Linked DNA regions of Rhinolophus ferrumequinum. The protein of the gene in region 2 purifies or fractionates together with the protein of the main gene of each other region. This does not show direct contact. Links are inferred from orthologs where the notes say so. Each region holds a gene or a part of one and is shown on either strand. Other genes may lie near its edges.

Region 1 (10,719 bases), on a different chromosome or scaffold from region 2:
CATGTTTGAGCATCAGTGAGGAAGCCAATATGCCTAGAGTGGAGTGAAAGAGGGAACGTGTAATGAGACATGAGGTCAGAAAATAATTACGAGCAACTCCTGTAAGGCCTTGCAATCCAGAGTCAGCATTTGGCTTTTGCTCTAAATGAGAAGTGACTATCGTTAGAAGTTTCTAAAACAGGAGTGCATGACATGATCTGTTTTATATTCAGACATCATCATCATCATCATTTTTAGTCTTTTTTTGGAAAGACTTTAACAGAACAGGCTGAGTATGCGTTAATGGAAGTGTGTTGGACACAAGCCTTTGTTTTGGACACCACTTGTTTTTGGACACAAGTTAAAAATTCAACCACAGGTATCTTTAAGCTATGGCTACCATTGGCAGCCTCTGGATGTGGGCTAAGAATAGGTTCTTCTCCCACTAGTAAATTCCTTTCCCATTACATGCCGAATAATCAGAAAAATCTAGAGTAAAGAAGGGTGAGACAGGAAGTAGAAATAGCCTAAGGAATATTCTAAGAAACATCTAATTTTAGTGCATGAAGCAATTCCCCAAAGAAATTAGAAAAGCTGGATACTTAAATCTCTAGAGGAGAAACTTCCAGAACAAATATAAAGTATAATAACAAGGCATCAAGTATTACAAAAGATAAACTATCTCTAACTGTCAAAGTTGTGTAGCTGCACCACCACTAAAACATTATCGTACTATTTGCACTCAGAAAGGGGAAGGTATCTTGGCTGGGGACATACCGTGTTTCCCCGAAAATAAGACCCAGCTGGACCATCAGCTCTAGTGCGTCTTTTGCAGCAAAAATTAATATAAGACCCGGTAAGAAGGTAACAGATAATATATTATTTATATTATATTATATTATACACAGTCCTATATTATATTAAAATAAGACCAGGTCTTATATTAATTTTTGCTCCAAAAGATGCATTAGAGCTGATGGTCCGGCTAGATCTTATTTTCGGGGAAACACGGTAAAAACACTCCGCATGGCCCGGTCGGCACCAGTATTTTGTGTCATGTCATGTGAACATGTTTTAGCTGTAGGATGTAGATTATGGTTCCCAAAGAAAATATTAGTAACTTCCATACCTACCACAGATCCAAAAATAGACCTTAATTCTTTCATACAATTTTCATTGGCCTTTATATAAACACAATTAATTCATAAGCTTATTAATGTACCTTCCTCTAAATACTTAGGAAATAATACTTTTTCTATCTTCTCCTTTGAATATGTTTTTGTGATAGTCTATTGATTTTATGTGTTTGACACATATTAAATCCATGGTATTTACCATTGTATTCAGGGAAAGGGGAGATCTGCCATATCATCAATTTTTGAGAAGGATGCCTAGAAAGAGACCTCATTGTTCAGTGACTAAGAACATCATTTAAAGCCCAACTCCACAACTTAACTCGCACACTGTAATTGAAATGACTGCCACAAACCACTAGATGGCCCTTCATATCAAATATTGCTAAAAACCGTTGCTTTTTGAGGTCTGTTCACTGTACTGCCTATTTAGAATTGCTTTTTACAGTAAACCGCCCAATATTATTGAGAGAGTATCTGTTATGTGCATTCTTTCTCTTACTGGACTATTTGTTCTCAGCCACAATAGGTCATTCTGATATAATCTCAAAGCTAGTCCAGTACTATAAGAATAATCAGGTGACAACCTGCTGGCACTCATGAAATGTACACTAACAGCACTTTAAAAAAATTATCCTTAGAATCAAAATGGAATTGGGATATCTTAAGGGCAAACCTGTTGCCCTATAATTTTCATTCTTGTTCTAGTTGGCTACAAATTTTGGAAAAAGAAGCAAAGAGATTCACAGCATGGGATTTGTAACATGCAGACACCTACCATTTGACTCTGAAGCCATTCAATGAGCGTTTCTGCTGTTGAATCTGGAATCTGGCATCTCAAGCCTTCCTTCTCATCCGTTTCCATCATCTCTAACAATCCACGCAGGTCTTCCACAAGGTGCAGAGCTCGCAAGCTTCCCATGAACGGAGAGGTGGGAGACTGGCAATCAAAAATCCCATTGGAATATTCCAGAGCCTTAGAGCCTAGGATAAAAAAAAAAACAAAAACAGTCACAGAGAAAGCAACAGAATTTATATTAGATAACAAACTAAAGCTGAAGGTGGCAAGCAAGTCCAGTCACAGTGAGCAATAACCAAAACAAAAAAAAAGGGAAAAGACAATTCGATCATGTAAATCTCTCCAAGGCATAGTTATCTAGTGCAAAAATTAAAACTACATAATTGATGGTAAATATCAGTGGTCAAATACCTAACAGAGAAGCCAACTGTGTAGTATAGTAAGAGGATAGTGAGCTTTGGTGTAAGATGTGCTGACCTTGTAGAAAGAAGGGGTAAGAAGGTAGCAGATAAGTTTGTGGGGAGCCATGCATTCCAAAAAACACAAATTTTAGGGGCTATAAAGTCTTTAAATTTCCTATAAATAAGTTACACATTGAGGTGGAAATTGCACAGCATAATTTCAAAGGTAAGAGGGTCAGCTCCCAGTTAACTTACCAGAATTTAATCTCTGAAGAAGTTCAATGATTACCTGTGTATACTCATACTTGTACATGTACGAGTATGTATGGGCCTGTGTATGTAAACATCTTCCCCATGATTGTTTGCAGCCTAACATCAAATGCTCTTGTTAATTTTGGCTTTAAAAAAAAAACAGTTTTACAGCCATTTTTGTTTTCTATTATTTATAAAACATTCTGCTACTTAAATCCACATAACTGACCCACAGCCCTTTCTGAAAGCACTCGTATGTACCTCTTCATATCTTAGATTTTTATTTTCTGGTCTGTCAAATATACATACTATCAAATATGAATACTGACTTTATACTTAAATATCAGTAATTATGATAATTAGGTTATCACCTCATGAATCTGAAGCTCTTACAATTGGGTGAGACCTGTGAAACAATGTGTAAGTTCTCTGCCCAGTTGGCCATCTGGCTTGATCAGTTCTAACAATGGGGAGAGGAATTCCCTTCCAGCTAATCCAACCCATTGATCTACCTAATACTGGGACAAAATCTGCTAAACTCTAATAATGGCAACCATTAATACGTTAGGCACAATGCTAACTAAATGCTTCACGTAACCCTCGAATCAATCCCCTCAAGATCCTTGTAAAGCTGAAATGAGAACGCAGAAAAATATGCATTGAGGAGAGTATGTCAGGGGGAGGGAGGGACAGAAAAGCATTAAAAACCAGACAGGCTCTAATGTCTTATTCCTCAGTTTTAAGCAATAGGATCACCTGATGATATTATTAAAAATACATGAGCCCATGATAACCCTCTATCCTGTTAGGTCTCTGTCACAAAACAAAATGGGGATAAGGGAGAGATGTGTATTTAGAAAAATTCCCCAAATGTTTGTAGTCATTTCTCCTCCTCTCTCTCTCTTACCTCAGTTGGAGGTATAATGTTAACAGAGGTTAATTTGAAAACATAAATCCAGATCCTACCCACAATGCTACTGGACTGACTTAGTTTGAGGTGGGACCTAAGGAATCTTGATTTTCTTAATAACTCTAATGTTGACAGGAACAAATACACTAATCTAGTGCAGTATATAAAATATAAATCCTTCAACTACTGTTGCAGAAATAGCACTTCTCTCATCTTCATTTTCACTACAAGTGTAAGGTTAAAACTTCTGGTAAGAGTCTAGAATTGGTTCTAGTTATATTTTCTGAAATTGTGACAGAGTAATGCCCCAAGCAACAATACACTTTTCTAGGTTAAGTATAACCAATTCCTTACTAGATGTGGTGGTTAAACTCTTTGCCTTCGTGCTAACCTCCTCTAGATAAGTTTTAGTATTCCAGTGATCCTTTGAAAATGATATTCCATGAACTGAATACAGTACTCTAAAGGTATGGTCTTATCTACAAAGGAGATCAAATTGAAGTCGGGTCTCCAAGACATGTAAGTATAACAAAGGAGGCCAAACCATGACATGCCACTTCCCTCAAAAGAAGAACCTTCTGAAAAGGAAAGCACTTACGGTTTCTCAAACCACCCAAACAGAGTAGAATCGAATTTATGACAAAAAAAAAAAAAAAGTACGCAGCTGGGGCAGGAAAACTAGAATCCTGGAGCAGTAAACGCCAGCTGTATCCTGACCCTGATCAACAAGTACATTCATGACAACCCCACCCAATAGCCCATTCAACCTTCTTCCCGTAGTAATGGGTATTTGAGACAAAATACAAAATGTGACACGAGACCTTAGGTAGCCACCACTCTTGAGAGACTGCAAGGGAGTGAAAGGGTTCGCCTATTAACTAGTCAGTCCCCTCAGCCATGATGAGAAAACTAGGAAGTGATGGTCTGCTGCTTTTGCTCAGCTTCCATAATAGAGAACTGCTGAAGATTCTTAACAAGGAAGTAATATGATCAGACTGGGCTTTAGAAAGGTGATTCTGGTGTTTTAGAGAAAGATGGACTAGAGCAGGAAAGCAAGAGTGTCAGGAACATCAAATGAGAGCATTACTTAGATAAAGCAAGACAATGGTAGCATAGACAGGACAGATTTTAGACAGGGGAAAAAAGAGAACGATAGAATTTGGTATGAGGTAGAATTGATAGAACTTGATTGACTAAGTTGGGGGATATGAGGGACAAAAGTGTGTAGAATGACTTAAATTTCTGTTTAGGAAACTGTGTGGATGAAGGGCTATGAAATTAGCTGAAGACTACTAGAGGGGTTTCTGAGGAAAGAAAATGAACTCAATGTTTTAAATAATGACACTGATGTGTCTATACAGGACATTTCAGGGGAGATATATGATTGGCAGTTAGAGACAGGGACTTGAAGCTTAGCAAAGAATTGGAAAAGTAATTAGATGTGAGAGTCACTGGTGGAAAAGTGTTGAATTCAAGGGAACAGATCAGAACATTCATGGGTACTAGGTAGAGCAGTATCCCTCAAAGTGTGGTCCACATACTGCCAGCACCCGAATCACCTGAGAAGCAGATTCATTATCCTTGATCAGAAGCCTAGGATAGTACTGAAACTTTTGACATTTAAAAATAAAATTTAAGAATAATTCTGGAAGAAAATGGAGAAGAGGAACAAATATAGTACCATAGGGAACCAAACTAAAGTTGTTGGAGAGAGACAATAAATGAAAATAAGAAAATGGAAAGATAATAAAAGAGTTATAATGAAAAAGCCATGAGAGCAGAATAAATGGCATGGTTCCATTTTTTTTAGAGGATGCAGATTACCTGCTATAATACCATCCATTTGCTCCAACGCTGCAGCCAACATGTCACTTGCATCACTCATCATTTTGATATTCGTCAAGGGCAAATTCCAACCTAGATCTGAAAAAACAAAGATGTTAGCATTACATCCTCTAAATGATACACACTTCCTGGCAGGTTTGATAATTCAACTTCAAATTATAGCTCCGCCTAGCAGACAAATACGGAGAATGCCTAAGTAGTAGAGCTGAATTAACTGAACCATTTAACAAGTGTGGCCAATATTCATCTACTGTACTGCAAGACCACGTGCTACACCTGTGTCAGTTAATAAAATAAGTAAGATTCAGTTCTTGCACTCAAGGTGTTTAAAATTCAGCAGAATGGTTCCCATGCTGTTCTCTGTAAAGCTCTAGTTCCCTGTGACAGGCATTGGGGATGGCTGTGGAACCCTGTTGAGGGCCATGAGGCATGCTGGGTAGAGAAGACTTCTTTTTCCCTGCACCAGCCTTACCCAATCTCTGCTCATTTAATTTTGCCTTTTTTTCTTTATAGAGAATTAATTTAATTGTAAGACTTTGCCTAATAAAATGGTTCATGAACAAATATACTATACACACATATCTGTCATTTTATAATGTAATAGTAGTAACCATGTACTGAATGCCTACAGTGGTCCCTATATATTTACATAAATTATCCATAATCCTTAATCATGACAAGACCCTATAAAACGGATAAATTCATCTCCATTTTATAATTGAGACCAAAGACGTTTGTTGTTTTGTATAGAAACATAGCAAATAAAGCAAAAAAAAACATTTTTAACCTAGATCTGTACTATTTCCACGATAATACTGAATTTCTGTTTATTTGAGCCTATCTGAATGATAGGTTTATACTGAAATTGTGTCAAAAACTACTCCCTCTTTTGCCTGTTAAAAAATCGAAATTATCCTTGCAACAAATTTGGTCATTAACAGGAAAAAGTCAAATTATGTGATCTTCAATATTATTTAATGCATTTCAGGTACCTGTCTAAGCATCCACATAAATTCTCCCAACAGGCCTAAAGAAGGCTCTTGCTACTTTGCAGATACTGTGATGTACCTGCATCACAGACGCACAGTAGCAGAACAAATAACATGAGAAATAAAGATTATGCTATTTCACAGAAACCTTTGCCCTCTGTTTCCAAGCAGCCAGATTTCACTTACCACTTTATCTTTACAAACACATTTACAATTCTGATGAACAGCTTCTTGGATCAGTTCTCTATTGGGTATTCATTCCAATAAAATGTCATTTAATCATTGTGAAATATTACTTTGATTTTATAGCTTTTATAGATTGCATCTAAGAATTTGCCAGAACTTTACTCACTTCAGAAAATATAAAATATCACTACCATGTTATGTGGAAATACTACAGCACAAAAATCCCCAAGGCATGTGTTTACAGTCACCCAGATATCAGAGGGTTAACAAGCAAGGTTATGAACCTAGGTAGTTCTTAAAAATTTACTTGCATATTTAGCTAGTGAACAATTCAAGAGGTGAGGCATCAATTTAATAATCACATTTCAGGAGGAATACTTAAAATGTGAAAATTGCAAACAAAGATTAAGCCAAATAGCATACAGTCATTGACTTTCATATAATTAAGTGGCTTGCATTCCGTTTCATTTTAAAAGTTGCACTTCAAAGAGCTTTAGATACTATGGTATATATATATATATATATATATATATATATATATATATATATATACGCACACACACACACACGTATATATATATACATACACACACAAAAACATATATCATAGTATACACACACATATATAATCATAGTATACGCGCGCGCACACACACACACAGACATACAGTGTGCCAAAAAAAGTATACACATTTTAAGAAAGGAAAAAACTGTATTAAAATTGTGATATTCAATATATACCGATAACAAAAGATGAATACAAGTCATGTCAGGCTCAGCTATAAATATAAAACATGAGGAATGCTAATAAAACAAAGTGATGCTCACATTGAAAAGAGTCTCATTGCCTCACTAAATCAGAAAAACAAATATTTGCCTTTGGTAGCAATTATATTTTGTGTAGAGCATGAACACGTTCAACTATAACAAGTCATTATCTATTTCTTCACTGTTCTGTTCATAGAGCCTTTCAAATACTACAGCATGGAGGTATGAAAATGCAGGCCATGCTTTTCAAAGCGGTAAAAACCCATTTTTAAAAAACTTGTCAATTCTTTAGAGACCAATCCTTTGTTTACTATCATAAAAATATGATGCTATTACATTGTTATAAAAGTTTATAAATGCTTACTCTTGATCTCTACATGTATCACGTAATAACCAACATGTAACTGTAAGAAGAAGACAGTGAGAACAATAAATATGTATGTAATATGTATGGCAAAGGCGGTAGGTGATTAGGGTTAAAAATGGACAGGACAAGAGGGGCCAGGAGTTTAGAGGGGTTTGCAAATTAAATAGGAAAGTCAGGGACAGTGACAGATTCAGAGGCCAAAGATCTCTTTAATATGTTAAAAGTAGTTAATTATAGGTGGTCAAGTTCAGTGGTATTCCAAATATAGAACTTCTATGAATCAATTAAAAAATGGGATGGGTGAGGGCATTAACAGGCATATAATAGAAGAAACACTTTTAACCAATAAAAATATGAAGAGATGCTTACTGTATTAATAACCAAGGAATTTAATACCACAGTGTGATACTGTTTTACATCCAGTCTGTTGGCACAAAAAAAAAAAAAATTAACACTACCAAGTAATGTAGTGGATATGGATTCATAGAATCTCTTCTAGAATGGTGGTGGGAATGTAAAATGAGCTAAAATTAAACATTCATACTCATTTTCAATCTAACATTATTGGCTCCCAAAGTATATAACCACAAGCAATACACAAATGTTCACAGTAGGACTCTTCACAAGGACAAAAATGTGGAAATGACCCAAATGTCCATCAATATGAAAAGAGATGAATAAATTGGTATAATCATACAATGGAATTGCATACAGTTGTCAAAACTAAAGAAATGTATGTATAGTATGAACAAATCTATGCAATATAATAGCAAATAAAAGAGTAAGTCTCTGGTAAATTCAGCAAGACATTTTATAAAATTAAAAATAATTAAATACAAATATACATATGAACTATATATAGACTCAGGGTAAGCACGTGCACAAATTAAAAAAGGAATGATAACATGAAATTCAGAATGATGACTACCTCAAACCAGGGACATATTGGGACAGACTAAAAAAAGAGTTACATAGGTAAACGAAGGTCAACGTCAAGTTTTTGAGTCATAATTATGAATTCAAAAGTGCTTACTGCATTATTTAAAATGATAAAATGAGAATTCCATTGCTGATAATGGTAGAATATATTTTATAGGACAAATTATCCCACAAATAGCAATATAAAACACTACATGAAAACAATTTTGAAGAAATAAGAGAGCCACAGAAGCAGGTAAAAACTGGAAGGAATTCATTCTTGAGTAAAGGGAACCATATGAGTGAGATTCAGGTTTATACATCTTTTCACCTGTGGACACCTCTCAGTCCATGTGATGCAGAGTTGCTAGGACTCCTGAAGAAAATCACAATCTTTTTGGTTCAAAGGATAGAAGGGGATACAGTTCCTACATTATATACAAAGATGTTTAATACTAATTCATGGTAGACTGTGGTAAGCTAAGAATATACAATGTAATCCATTAAAACTTTAAAAAAAGGACATATAAATAAAAAAGCCAATTAGGATGATGAAATGGAATACTAATAAAAACCTCAATTAATCTGGAAGAAGACAGTTATGGTGAACAATGGAGAGATGGGATAAGCAGAAATCAAATGGCAAGATGGTAGATTTAAACTCAATGGTATAATCACATTAAATATAAATGAAATAAACACTATTAAAAGTCAGACTGGTTTAAAAAAAAAAGACAGATCTAACTATATGCTATTAATTAAAAATATAAAGTGAAAAAATGAAAAATGAGATGACATGCACACAGTAAGCCTAGGAAAGCAGGAGTGGCTATATTAATATAAGAAAAATAGCTCCCAATCAAAGAATATTACTGGAAAGCTATTTTATAAGGATAAGAGTCAATTCATCAGGAGGTCGTAACAATTCCAACTTTTTTTTGCAAGTAATAACAGAGCTTCCAAATACATGAGGCAAAAAACAACACAATTGAGGGAGAATTTCCCAAATTAAATCCATTTGTATTTAATCTAATTGTTGATATGGTTAGAGTTAAGTTTACTGTCCTGCCATTTTTTTTCTGTTTGCTCCATCTGTCATTTGTTTGTCCTTTTCAACATTCTTTTGGAATGGTAGACAAGATAGGAAAAAGAATCCAGTAATACTATAGAAGATTTGAACAACACCATCAACCATTTTGATCTAATTTAATTTATAAAACAAAGCACTCAAACGCAGAATATACATTCTTTTCAAGTCCACGTTATATTCACCACGATAGACCATGTATGCAAAGCCACAAAAATAAGTTTCAGTAAGTTCCAAATGGGCTTTAAAGCAGGACACAGAAGACTAACAACAGCCACCTGAGCGGTCAAGTACTAATACTAAGAACAGAATTTCCATATATATTAAAATTCTGACTTGTCCATGGCTTGAGTTATTTCAGAGGCAGCCTAATTTAGTGAACATCTGTGTTGATAAAGCTATGTCAATTGTCATGGCTGGGTCAAAGTATTTTTAAAAATAGAAAGGCTACATAAAAAGGCTTCTGAAAATCCCACACTATTAAAAAGATTTTCCTATATCCTCAAAATAATTTCTGAGAGGAAGATTCGCCTGGGTGTCCTCACATACTTAATACAATGGATGTTATTCCAATACAATGGAATATTACTCCACAATAAAAAAGACTGAACTATTGATACATGCTACATTGTGTTGAGCAAAAGAAGCCAGACATAAACAACTATGTACTGTATGATTCCTTTTATATAAAATTCAAGAATAGGCAATCTATGGTGATAGAAGGTAGAACAATAGTTACTTTTAGGAAGTGGCAAATAATTAAAGGAGATACTGGAGGACTTCCTGCTCAGTATGTTGATTGAGGTTTGGTTACACAAGTTTATACATTTGTCAAAACTCATCAAACTACACATTTAAGATGTATATATTTCACTGTATGTAGATTTCATCTCAAATTTTAAAAATTAGGAATAAAGATGATTTTTAGAAATTAAAAATTGTATTTTAAAATGAACTAAATAAATGGATTAATGTAAGTAGGAAATGCATGGACTTACAGTGATAATATGTCATGAATCAAGGATAATGAATAATCCAATTACAGACCTGAGGTCCAAAATAAAAGACTCAAGACTATCCACGGC
Region 2 (11,014 bases):
CGAATCCAGTGGGGGAATGAGTGGGGGACGATGTTTCCTGCCAAGGGCATGGTCAAGGTCAAGGTCATTAGCTGGTCGGGAGCCTGAGGGTTTTAAAGGGCTTTCAAATGGTTTCTCCTAAACCTCAATCATCTTCCTGGGAAAGAATCGTCAGAGACCGTTGGAATGGAGGGCTGAGAGACAGGGATTGGGGCGGGGGTTAGGGAAGGAGAGGGCCTAGGGATGGGGTAGAGCTTGTGGACTGGGGAGAGCGGGTTCCAACGCAATAAGGAACCGGGTAGGGGTCAGGGATAGCTGCCTGGGACCCAGGAGAGACTCAGACAGTGTTCTACCACCAAGCAGCCCAAGTCTAAGAACAGGACCGAGTGAGGGGTCTAGGACCTACGGCTGCTGCGGCCCCACCCTAGTCTGCCTGGATCCTCCGCACTGCACTAGAGAGGCAGCCAGGACTGGTCGCCTAGCAACAGGAGTTCCCAGGTAGAGAGTGATGCAGGAGGCTCAGGCGAGCGCACGCCCATGGATGAGGAAAGAGAAGAGGGAGGAGGAACACTTTTTCCTGGACTAAAATTCCACCCAAGTCTCTGTAGTCACACTCTGACGGAGTATCTGAGTCACCTACCCAACTCTTCTGAAACTTGAGAGAACAACACATGTGATGAGAAGAAAAGGGCAAAGCTCCAACGGTCACGGGGACCCAACCCTCCTGCCTCTGGACCTGCCCTCTCTACTCAGCTCTTCCCAAAGGTCCCCATCCCACCCAGGCATGGCCTGGAAACCTACCCTCAGCGGTCCCCACTGCACACTGGGCTACTGGCTTTTAACCTAAGGAGAAGCAATCCCGTGCCTGGTATTTTCTTGAGGGTGGGGAATCTCAACTTTATTTCTGTGTCTGGAGTTTTGTCTCCAAAATTACAGTCGCCTCCCACCATCTCCCTCTCTCCCACCCCAGCCACTGTCCTCCACTCATCCCTTCCAAGGTCCTTTGTCCTTCTCTGAAAGAACATGATTAATAATTAAGAACAGATGTCACTCACCGCAGGGCCTTTGGGGCAGACCCGGGGGTTGGAGAAGGACACATTCTCAGGCTGCTGCAATGGCCTGGCCACCCCCACAGCGCCTCCCTGATCTGTGGGGACATCCCCCTGGGGTTGGGAGCCAAGGCGCTGGAGGGCGGTGGCAGGGCAGGGCCTGGGCTGTGGACGGCGGGACTGAGCCCTTCTCCACATTCCACACGGGCCTCGCTGCTCCCCGTGACTCAGCCCTTTTCCCCACCTCACCCCCAGGGCACCCAAACTCCTTTCCAAACCCCAACCAGGAGCAGATGTGATCTTCAATCCCACCGAGCCTCAGTTAGAGGTCCTGCCAGAGGCGAGGTGAGGGAGGTGGGAGGGGCGGGTGCTTTGGATAAGGTCCCACAGCTCGGGCGGTCCAAGCCTCTGGGGGCCCCCTTCCTGCCCCCGGTCTCTTCAGAGTCAATGCTGTCACACACACACACACACACACACACACACACACACACAGTCAGCCCACATCCCTCCCCCACCTTCACTAGTCTCCACAAAACTGCAGCCTACACCCAGAGTCCCGCACCCCCCCAAATCCCTCAGCTTCCACCCCACACCCCCACAGAGTCTCAGACCATCAGCCTCGTAGCTTCTAAGAATCTTTATTGACTTGCTCAGCATCGTACACATGTCTGAAGAAGCCCGAGTGAGGTTCTGTGCCCACTACCCCCAGGGTGGACCCCAGCTGGCAGGCCCCCCACTCGCATCTGGGGAGCCCTCATTTCTTCCGGGGTTGCTTATCAGGGAAGCCCTCGAAGAACTCATTGCACATCATGGCGATGCAGGACAGGAAGACACAGTACTCCTGGAAGTCGACCTCGTTGTCCCTGTTACTGTCCAGGTTGCTCATGAGCTTCTGGAAAGCGGCCTCATCCGTCCGTTTCTGCAGGGGGAGAGGTTACAGGTAGAAACCGGGAGTCTGGGGACAGAGCCAAAACTAGAGCAGGCTTCTTCCTGCAGACGGAGCTCAGGCAGGTGCAGCCACTCCTGGGGGGCCCAGCTTTGGAACTCCAGTCTTCAGGGCCAAGCTAGGGAGGGAGAGTACCTGGATGCAACTGGAAAAGGGGACCACATCTCTCCCCCGGGGGGACAATCGTCATGAAAGCAATATATGTCTAAGTTGCATAAAGTTTGATACAGATGGAGCTAGGATTGCTCAGGGGAAATAGGCGTGTGAGTGTCTCCGTAACTGTGCCTTCTTCACAGGTAAAAACCAAATAGAAACTCAAAAAATGGTTCTTTGCTGCAGTGATGGCAAGAGGTGGACCGCCCTGGTTCGTGGACCTCAGCTTTGCACGCTGACTACCTTGGGAAGTTCCTTAGCCCCTCAGAGCGTGAGTTGCCCTTCTGGTCGGTCGTGCCAAGCCCCTGGCCGACTGCCTGGTCCCTAACAGCTTGTTCGTTCTCAGCCCCCTTTTCTGCTGGGCGCCAGGAAATGAGTGACAGGTGCTCACCACGTCTCCACCCGCCTCCGTGACAGATGCCCGCGGCAATGACTGCCCTGCAGAAAGACTGGTGCCTCCCAGGGCCCTGTCCAGCCTCTGACGGGGACACACCACTGGGGGACATACTTCCAGGCAGTAGCCACTCACCCCCAAGAAGCTGGGCATCTCCCGGGTCAACAGGTCCTTTAGCTCCGACTTGTTGAGCTTGAACTTGTCACCCTCCTTGCCTGAGTATTTGTGGAAGGTGGACACCATCACGTCCAGGGCTTTCTCCAGAGGTTGTGCCATGGTGGTTGTCAGGATCTGGGGGTCACAGAGGCATCCTTATCTTCCCCACCCCACCCCAGCTATGCCCCACCCACTCCCATGCCACAGGGGGAGCTGGGAAAGGTGGGTCTCAGCTCCTGGTGGGGAGGGCGTGCACCATGGGAAATGCATGCTTCAGGCAGCAAACACTTCCTGGATTTCAGGCATGCAGGCCCTGGATTTCAGCATGCAAGCTCCCAGGGCGCACTCAGTCCTTTTGGTCCCACAGCTCAGCCCACAGCAGCCCGCCCAGCCCATTCTCCCCGCCCCCCCCCCCCCCCCCAATGCTGGGCGAGGCTGCTGGAGGCCTGCCCAGCATGGAAAAAACCCGGGGTCTAGCGTAGGGAGGGCAGGGTGAGGTGGCAGAGGCAGGGATGCAGGCGAGGGCCGGGGAGGCCAAGTTTGGGCTGGGCTGCTGGAGCTGGCCAGAGGCTGATGGGACACTGCCAGACAAAAGCCCACGGTTGCCTTCTGACTTCACTTTGCTTCCCACACCCGAGTGTGCACACACAGGCTTGTGCAGCCCAGCAAACACAAGCCAATGTGCGCACCCACGAGTCAAACATGCACCAGGACAACACTACAGCCACACAACATACTATAGAGAGCTTGAATCCAGCCAACCGCACGCGTCTTTCTTTTTGTTTCCGTTCTCCCTTGCTCATGCACGGGCGCGCACACATGCATCCCACCCCAGAGCTTCCACATCGGAACCGCACATCTGGACCCACTTAGCACATCTGGCCCCCACCAGCCTCCCCTTCTCCTGTCCCAGCCTCAGCCTGACACCCGATGCGTGCCAGTCATGCGACCACAACTCACCAGGTCGAGAGAGAGGAAACGCTGAGAAGAGAGGGTTGGGGAGACAGGAAGAATGGGGAGAGCCCAGCGGTTGGACCTATTTATACCCTGGGCAGGCCCTGCCCATGGCAGAGGATGGGGGAGAACGGGAGACAACCCTCTGCCCGGCCTGTGTGATGCATGCCAGGCCCCCCTCCCCGCCCCCCGCCCACCAGCCCAGCCTAGAAATGCAGCTCCCTGCCCCTGGCAGCCACAGACAATGGGCGAGCCCCAGTGGGCGCAGGCAGGGGCCTCAGCCCCACCCCTCCTCCCCCCAGTGTACACAGCTCAGCCTGAGTTTTAGGGAACTGGAGGAAGGGACAGTCTGTGCCTGGAGCATAGAAGACAGGGAGCAAGTGGTCCCACCCAGCAGCTAGGAAAGGGGGTCCAGGGGTGGTGGGTGACAGGTGGGAAATTGCCCTGAGGGAGGGGACCCCAAGCTCAGCGCTTGGCACAGCTGACACTGCCTTTCTCCCTTCCCCAAAGTGTTCTCTGCCATGTTGAGTGAGGCCCAGGGCAGGAGCTGGGGGGCTGGGAGAAGCAGGTATCCCCCAAAGGAGGCCCTGGGACCAAGCTTGCCAGTGATGAGACAGAGGTGGAGTGGGAAGTGGGAGGCAGGTGTGGGCCTCAGGGACGGTGTGAAGGTACTAAGAGCAGGCGGGGAGGGGCAGAGGTCAGGAACGGGAGTTTAGAGTTGTGCTGGGCGTCAGGAATGACGAACAGGGTGGGAAGTGAGGGGTGAAACGGCCCAAAATGGGGGATTCACCCCTTGGGTGGGGTATAAACTCAGGGATTGAGAGCAGGTCAGAAGTGGGGGTTAAGCTCCTCAGGCGGGGGTGGTTTCGGGCGTGGAGTCTGCCTCAAGGGCTCCTCTTCCCGCTCCAAGGCCAGGCACCCCTCCCCGGTGTGGGACAGCACCCTAATCAGACCTCAGGCGCCCTAATCCTATTAGTGCCACTCTGGGCGCCCACAGCCCGGGGCAGGGAACAACCCCGCCCCAGACCCAGGGCCCCACCCTCCGTTCAGATCATCCTGTCATGAGGACTGAGTTCCATCCCCAGGGAAGCTCCGGCTGCCCTCTGGCTCCCAAAGAGAGAGACACAGAGAGAGAGACAGAGAGAGCCCAACACGGTCTGTGTGGATCCCACCCCTCCTGCTGGACCCGTGACATCCTCCAGTGGAAAAGTCCAGAGAGGAGCCATGACCTCCGCAGGACTGCCCCCCGGCTGGCCTGTAAGAAGAACCAAAGCACACCGAGTGACACCAGGTCTTTATTGGGAGTTCAGCAGGCCCTTTCCCACCAGGGCCTCCTTCGTGCACATGCTCTGGGGGGCCTGGGCAGTCTCAAAGCGCCCCTGCCTCTCCCATCACACACCACAGCCGGGAGGCAGCGGGTGGCCGCTCTGCATGTCACTAGCTGTGATCCTGGGGACAGGTCCCTTCACAGGTCCCTGCCCCAGGCAACAGGGGTTAGGATATCAGGGGCAGACCTGGGAGATTCCACATGAGAAGGATGCAGAAGAGAGGGCAGGGGGTATGGGTGCCATGCCCAGGACCCCACAGGGCAGAGCTGGAGCAGGTCCCGGGCAGACCCTGCGGCAGAGGCTACTGGGGGCAGGGGGGCTCCGGGGAGCAGTCCTTGAAGTAGTCATGGCAGTAGGTGCAGAGGCAGGCCAGTGAGCGCACGTACTCCACGAAATCCACCTCGCCGTCCTTGTTGGCGTCCAGAACACTCATGAATTTACTGTAGTCACACTCCCGGAACTCCGTCTGTGTGGGGGAGGGGGCCACGGGGGGCAGGATGCCTCACACACGCTGCTTCCCTCCCCCTACTCCTGGGCGATCCCACCCATCCCAACCCACAGCCCTTCTGGGCCCAACCTGGCCGACCTGCTCTGATAACTCACCGTGCCGACCCCCGCCCCCCCCCATTCTCCTTCCCAGATTATTTGTGGAGCAACCCACTATGGCTGCTGAGGGCCTCCTGTGTGTTTCTTTACTGTACTCTCACTGCATCCTCCAGCAGCCCTGCAAAGCGGCACGTGTGATGAGGAAACGATTCCTGCCCTGTCACTTTCCTGCCTGGTGTCCTCGCCCCACGGTCTGGCCTCCCCCACTTCCTGCTGTCCTCTGCTCAGAGCGTGTCCCAGGCCTCTCTGTGCAGAGTCCAAGCGGTATTCCCCAGAGGCTGGGCACCCCAGGGGCTCACCGGGGTCCAGGTGGGCAGCTCCTTCTGCACCAGCTCCTTGAGCTCCGCCTGGCACAGCTTATGCTTGTCCCCGCAGCGCCCCGCATATTCCCGGAAGGTGCAAACGATGGCAGCCACCGCCTGCTCCAGAGGCCTGGCCATTCTCACTGTCACAGAACAAAGATGTGGCCCATAGCAGAGGCCCCGGTCACCGCCCTGTACCTCTGCCCTCCATGTTCCGGGCCTGTCCCAGACCTGTCTTCATTTCCACACAAGCCCGCCTCCTCTGAGCAGCCCTCCCTGACCACACCAGCACCTGCTAATCTATTTCTGTGCTGTGCCCCCATTGTTATTTTCCTGGACAGAGGTCTCATTTCCCCAACATCACTGCAAACCCCTCAGGGAGAGTGCCCTCCCCCGACCCCCCCACAGAGGATTCCCTGATTCTCTCCACCTTTTCTCATCCCCAGCACCCAGGAAGGACTCAGTCCCACTCTGCACCACGCCATGACAAGCAGCTCCCGACCCTGGAAGGCTCCTTCCTCTCAGGACCCCAGATCTCCTTCTGTAGGAACTCGTTCAACCCTTGCCCGCTCTCCCTGTTCTCAGGCCCTTGGAGGAGCCGGGCATTGTCAGGGAGGGTCGGGTCTGAGAGGAGCTCCCACCACCTCACCACCCTTCACCATCCCTCCTCCCCCGAACTCAGGGACTCATCATCCAAAGGAAATGCCCCCTGCCTCTCACTAGGTGTGCAGTCCCAGGTGAGCCATTTACTCCGACCTGGGTCTCAGGTGCGTTATCTGTAAAGTGGGGTCAGTCCCACCTCACAGGCCTAGTCGGGGAGCAAGCTCAGGCATTTACCAATCTGTGATCTGCCCCAGCTGAGCCCACCCTCCGGACCCCTGGGGGTCTTGAGACAGGAGGCTCAGCATTAGGGTACCCTGTTCTGTTAGAGGGGAAGCCCTTCATGGCACTGCCCCCCTCACCCCACTCCACCCCATTCCACTGGACCCTTGCATCGCCTTCTGGGAAGAGCCTCCAGCCTGGTGAAACCCGAAGGCAGCCAGGAAGACAAGTGTTGTTTTCATGTGAGCCCGGTGACTCACTCGGTTCCCCCAGGGGACAGGAGTCTTGTAACAAGGCAGCCAGGGCCAAGCCTCTCCCTCTAATGAGTCCCCCTCTGCTGGGCCCTGTACAGCAAATGGCCAGCACGGTTGTGGCTATGGAAAGGGGGAGGCGGGGGTGATGGGACCAAGCACCCCCCGGGGTCTGACTCTTTGTGCCGGCCCAGGATTGGAGCAGGCTGTCCACCTTCCCAGGACAGGAAAGGGCCCTGATCCCAGGGACTAAGCCTCACGGGTGCTCAGCTGCCCCTCTGGGCTCCTGCCAGCCTGCCTGGCGCCACCACTGCTGCTTTTCCAGAAGCTAGGTGCCTAGAAACCCGAGGGAATCTGTTGTTCCCCATGCAGCCTGGCCTGTCTCAACCCGTTGGAAGAAAGAAGGACGGAGGCAAGGGGAGTTGCAGGGGGTTCACTGAGGGTCTCACCAGTGCTTTTAGCCCATTGGCCCCTCCCCAGGGCCAGACCTCAGCCCTGCACGCCCCTAACCCAACCTTCCCGACAGCCCCTCACCGTACAAGAGAAGCTGTGACTTCCCTCACCCCATCAATCCCAGCTTTGGTCATCCCTCTGCCCCCGTGCCCACACCCGGGACCAGGGGACCCTCCCTGAACTGCCCGACCCCCAGTCCAGAGCAGGACCCAAGCAGTTGGCACTCACCCCTGGTGGTTGGCGGTTCAGCTGTAGGAGCCTAGAGACAGGGCAGCCCTATTTGTAGTCTCCCAGGGAAGGAAGAGGGCAATTATGGGGGGCCCAAGTAGGTCAAGCTGAGGGTGCCCCCGGGGGCTTCCCTGCCTCCTTCCCTGGCAGTCCCTATTACAGGCCCGGCCGCCCACCTATCCACGCACACATCAAAGACCCAGTCTGGGCATCAGACACTGCACCCCTTCATTCCCCCTCCGCCCTCCCCTAGAGCTGGGAACTGGGGACAGCCTCCTGCCTGTCCCCTTCTGTCGCTGGAGGAGACAGGCTGGGCTAGTCCATCAGATCCATTCCCTATCTCCTCACTCTGAACAGACACCCCGTAATACAATGTGGGAACACACTCTAGCCTGGCGTACATCTATGCCCCCAGAGAACCCCTGCGCCAGGGGTTCCCCTCTTGGAGCATCTGGTTAAGCCCTTCATTTACAGGTGAGAAGACGGAGGCCATGGGACACACCTGCCTGATCCCCAGATGTGTGTTTGGTAGCTGTGGGCTGCCAACTGCTCGCCTCCCTGGGAAGGGCAGCTGCGGGATGTGCTGGGGAAGAAAGAGTCTCCTTCTACCCTTCCAGGGTCTTGGGCTGGTCTCATACTCAAATTGACATACGACACATTAACAGAGTAACACATTTCATTCCCTACGTGGGGGGTGCTCCATAAGAATACGGGGCCCACAGGCAGTCAGGTGACAGGGGCTTATGTGCTCTTCTGAACTAAGGAGAAGGGGCTAGGGATCTGGGACTTCAAAAAGGAGGAAGACAATTCACATGGAGATGGAAAAGCAAATGTGGAAGGGTCAGGGAGGGACTCAGAGAGGACTCTGGCTCCAATCACAGCTGAGCCCCCCTTCAACACACCTACCCCCATTCTTTGTAGATCTCTCTGGGGATAGAGCTCTTCCTGGACCAGGCCCTTTACCTAAATTATTTCAGACAGTTAAAGGGGAGGTAAAAGTACTTTCTTAGGCTTTGGGGCCTCCATTGTCTTCAGCTCAAAATGATGTCCTGCCAGGGATGGCACGTGCTGGGGATCCTTCCGAATGCCCACGGATGACTTTGAGGCACAGGAGGAAGGTGTGTTTTGCTCCTAGGGGCGTTTGCGTCCGTCTAGGCTGAGTTCTCTGGCTACACTCCCCCCCGACCCCCTCCCACAGTGCTGTGCGTGGAGGTGGGCTGCAGACTCCTGCATGGGCTGCCTGGGACTAGAGCTCAGCCCCACTGTTCCTTGTGATCCCATGGGGTGGGGTGGGTTTCCTCAGCTTTGAACTGAAGCAAGTAGCCCTTTAGGGTCCCAGTATGATGGGGAGTGTCCCCCTTGTTGCCCACCTCGAGTGAGCCCTGGGCTTCGGCTCTGTGTTCTTCACTCCACAAACCGTCAAAGCCAAAGGTCATTTTGGCTCGGTTTGGCCAATGTCTTCCAGGCGCTATTAGCCCTGGTGCACTCCTCGCCTCCCGGAGTCTGCTTTACTGAGAGCTTGATCTTCCCACTCCTTCCTGCCTTGTCAGCATTCAATACTTTGAAAAAGATTTTTTTTTTTTTTTCAAATTCTATCCCGCATTTCTTGTTGTTGTTTTTAGCTGGAGCAGGCACAGACCACCGTATTACCAAAAATGGAAATCCCTTCTGAAGAGGTTCAGAACAGGCCTCCCCAAGATGTGTCACTTGGGCTGGTGAATTATTTTGAGCTGAAAGCAACCGAGACCCTGTGGGCCCACGAGAAACGTTTACCCCTCCCTTAAGCAACGTAAATGAGTTATAATGAGTTATCGCCAGAAAGTTCTTCTATGTGGCAGTGTAAACATCTAATTACTGAACACCTGCTCTTTTTATCGTCGCGCCTATGACCCTCCCTACCTCTAACGCCCCCAAGGCACCTTACCTCATCCTCCGCTCAGAACGTCATATGTGCCTCAGTTTAACTTTCTGCCTCTGAACCTCTCGTGTCGCTGGGATTCCCACACATACGTATGTAATTAAACTCGATTATTTTTCTCTTGTTAATCTGTCTCGTGTTGCTTTAATTATTAGACCAGCGGGGAGAAGCGAGGCGGGGAGAGCAAAGTTTTTTCCTCCCCTCACTTCATGTCACTTCTCCATTCCCTCCCTCACCCCTGAACCTGAGAGACCCCTCCTCATTTCACAGAGAGAGAAGCCAGGACCCAGAAGAGTGTGGGAAGGGCCGGAGGCGGTGAGCTCCTCGTAGACGCAGCCAGAGCAATAACACCTTGAGGTCACCCCAGGCCCCCAGTGCCCAGACCTCGCCTGTGCCACTTTCTCCTTGAAGACCCAGCCCCTCTGGGTGAGGAGAGCAAGCAACTGGGAGGGAAGGGCAGGCTGTGATTAGCCCTGTTTTATAGGCAAGGAATTAGGGGGAGTTGGGCACGGAAGTGAGGGCCAGAGTGGCCCCGCAATTAACTCGGTTCCAGGTCAAGCATTTATTCTCGTCTGTGATATCCCCGCTCCACCACCAGCCACCTCCCGGAAGCCAGTCATCCCCCAGCTCTGGCCCTCATTTTCCTCACCTGTCAATCATCGAGGGCAATAATGGAAACCACTTCACAGCATGGCGGTGGGGCTTAAATGAGCTAATCCATACAAAGCTCATAAATAAGGAGAGCCTGGCACATGATAAGGGCATCAATGTAAACTGAGAGGTGGGTACCTTGCCCAAGGTCACGTGACTCGTCAGTGGCAGGGCGAAGGGCCATTCGTTCTTTATAGAAACATTTAGAGACAACTGTCCACAGCATTGAGGGGGCAGCCGTAAACTAAACAAAGTCCCTGCTCCGTGGAAATGACAATCTAACGAAGCAAACAGACAATAACAAATACGTGTGTGATAGACTGTAAATAGACGGGTTGAAATGCCAGGGAGAACACTAAAGCAGGGATGAGGGAAGGAAAATGGTGGTGGGCCCAGGGATCTTTATATACGTGGTCAGGGCAGAGCCAGGCGAAGGGGGCAGGAGGGGGCAGGCAGAGAGGGAGGTCTGGGTACAGGCGCTTTGGGGACCGTCATGGAAAGAACCCTTCCTCGGACCCTCCCCCCTAGTTCCACGTCCCTCTTGCCACCTGACTTCGAGCACGTCCTTTGTCTTGTTTGGGCCTTAAATTTCTTGCCCTCCTAAATGGATTGGGAAGATTCCTACCTGAGGCTCGGATGTCAAAGTGCTCTGCGTCCCTTGCTGTTACTGTGGACGATGTCAGGGCAGGGGTCTCTGAGTCACTCAACAGTCATTCGCTGTCCCTTTAACAAAGGCAGCAGGGAGAAGTGAGGTGGAGGAGAGAAGCAAAATGACCTCACCAGGTCATTTTGTCCAGCCTTCTGCCACCACGCTGGCCAGGGGC

The links.
Region 1: the proteins of S100A4 (region 2) and PPFIBP1 purify together in Homo sapiens (co-immunoprecipitation; 3 studies listed by BioGRID and IntAct, with this or other methods). This does not show direct contact. The link is inferred for Rhinolophus ferrumequinum from reciprocal best matches to the Homo sapiens genes S100A4 and PPFIBP1.

What each region holds. Positions count from the first base shown.
Region 1 is NC_046293.1:38,329,438-38,340,156, reverse strand, and holds the start of PPFIBP1 (liprin-beta-1), read right to left. Parts: upstream 5,398-10,719; 5' UTR 5,363-5,397; coding exon 5,299-5,362; intron 2,097-5,298; coding exon 1,891-2,096; intron 1-1,890. UniProt on the Homo sapiens protein: May regulate the disassembly of focal adhesions. Did not bind receptor-like tyrosine phosphatases type 2A.
Region 2 is NC_046305.1:52,504,413-52,515,426, forward strand, and holds S100A4 (protein S100-A4), read right to left. Parts: upstream 3,795-11,014; 5' UTR 3,638-3,794; intron 2,813-3,637; 5' UTR 2,798-2,812; coding exon 2,657-2,797; intron 1,948-2,656; coding exon 1,783-1,947; 3' UTR 1,651-1,782; downstream 1-1,650. Other genes in the region: S100A3 (protein S100-A3), read right to left, coding at 5,261-5,425, 5,865-6,005. UniProt on the Homo sapiens protein: Calcium-binding protein that plays a role in various cellular processes including motility, angiogenesis, cell differentiation, apoptosis, and autophagy.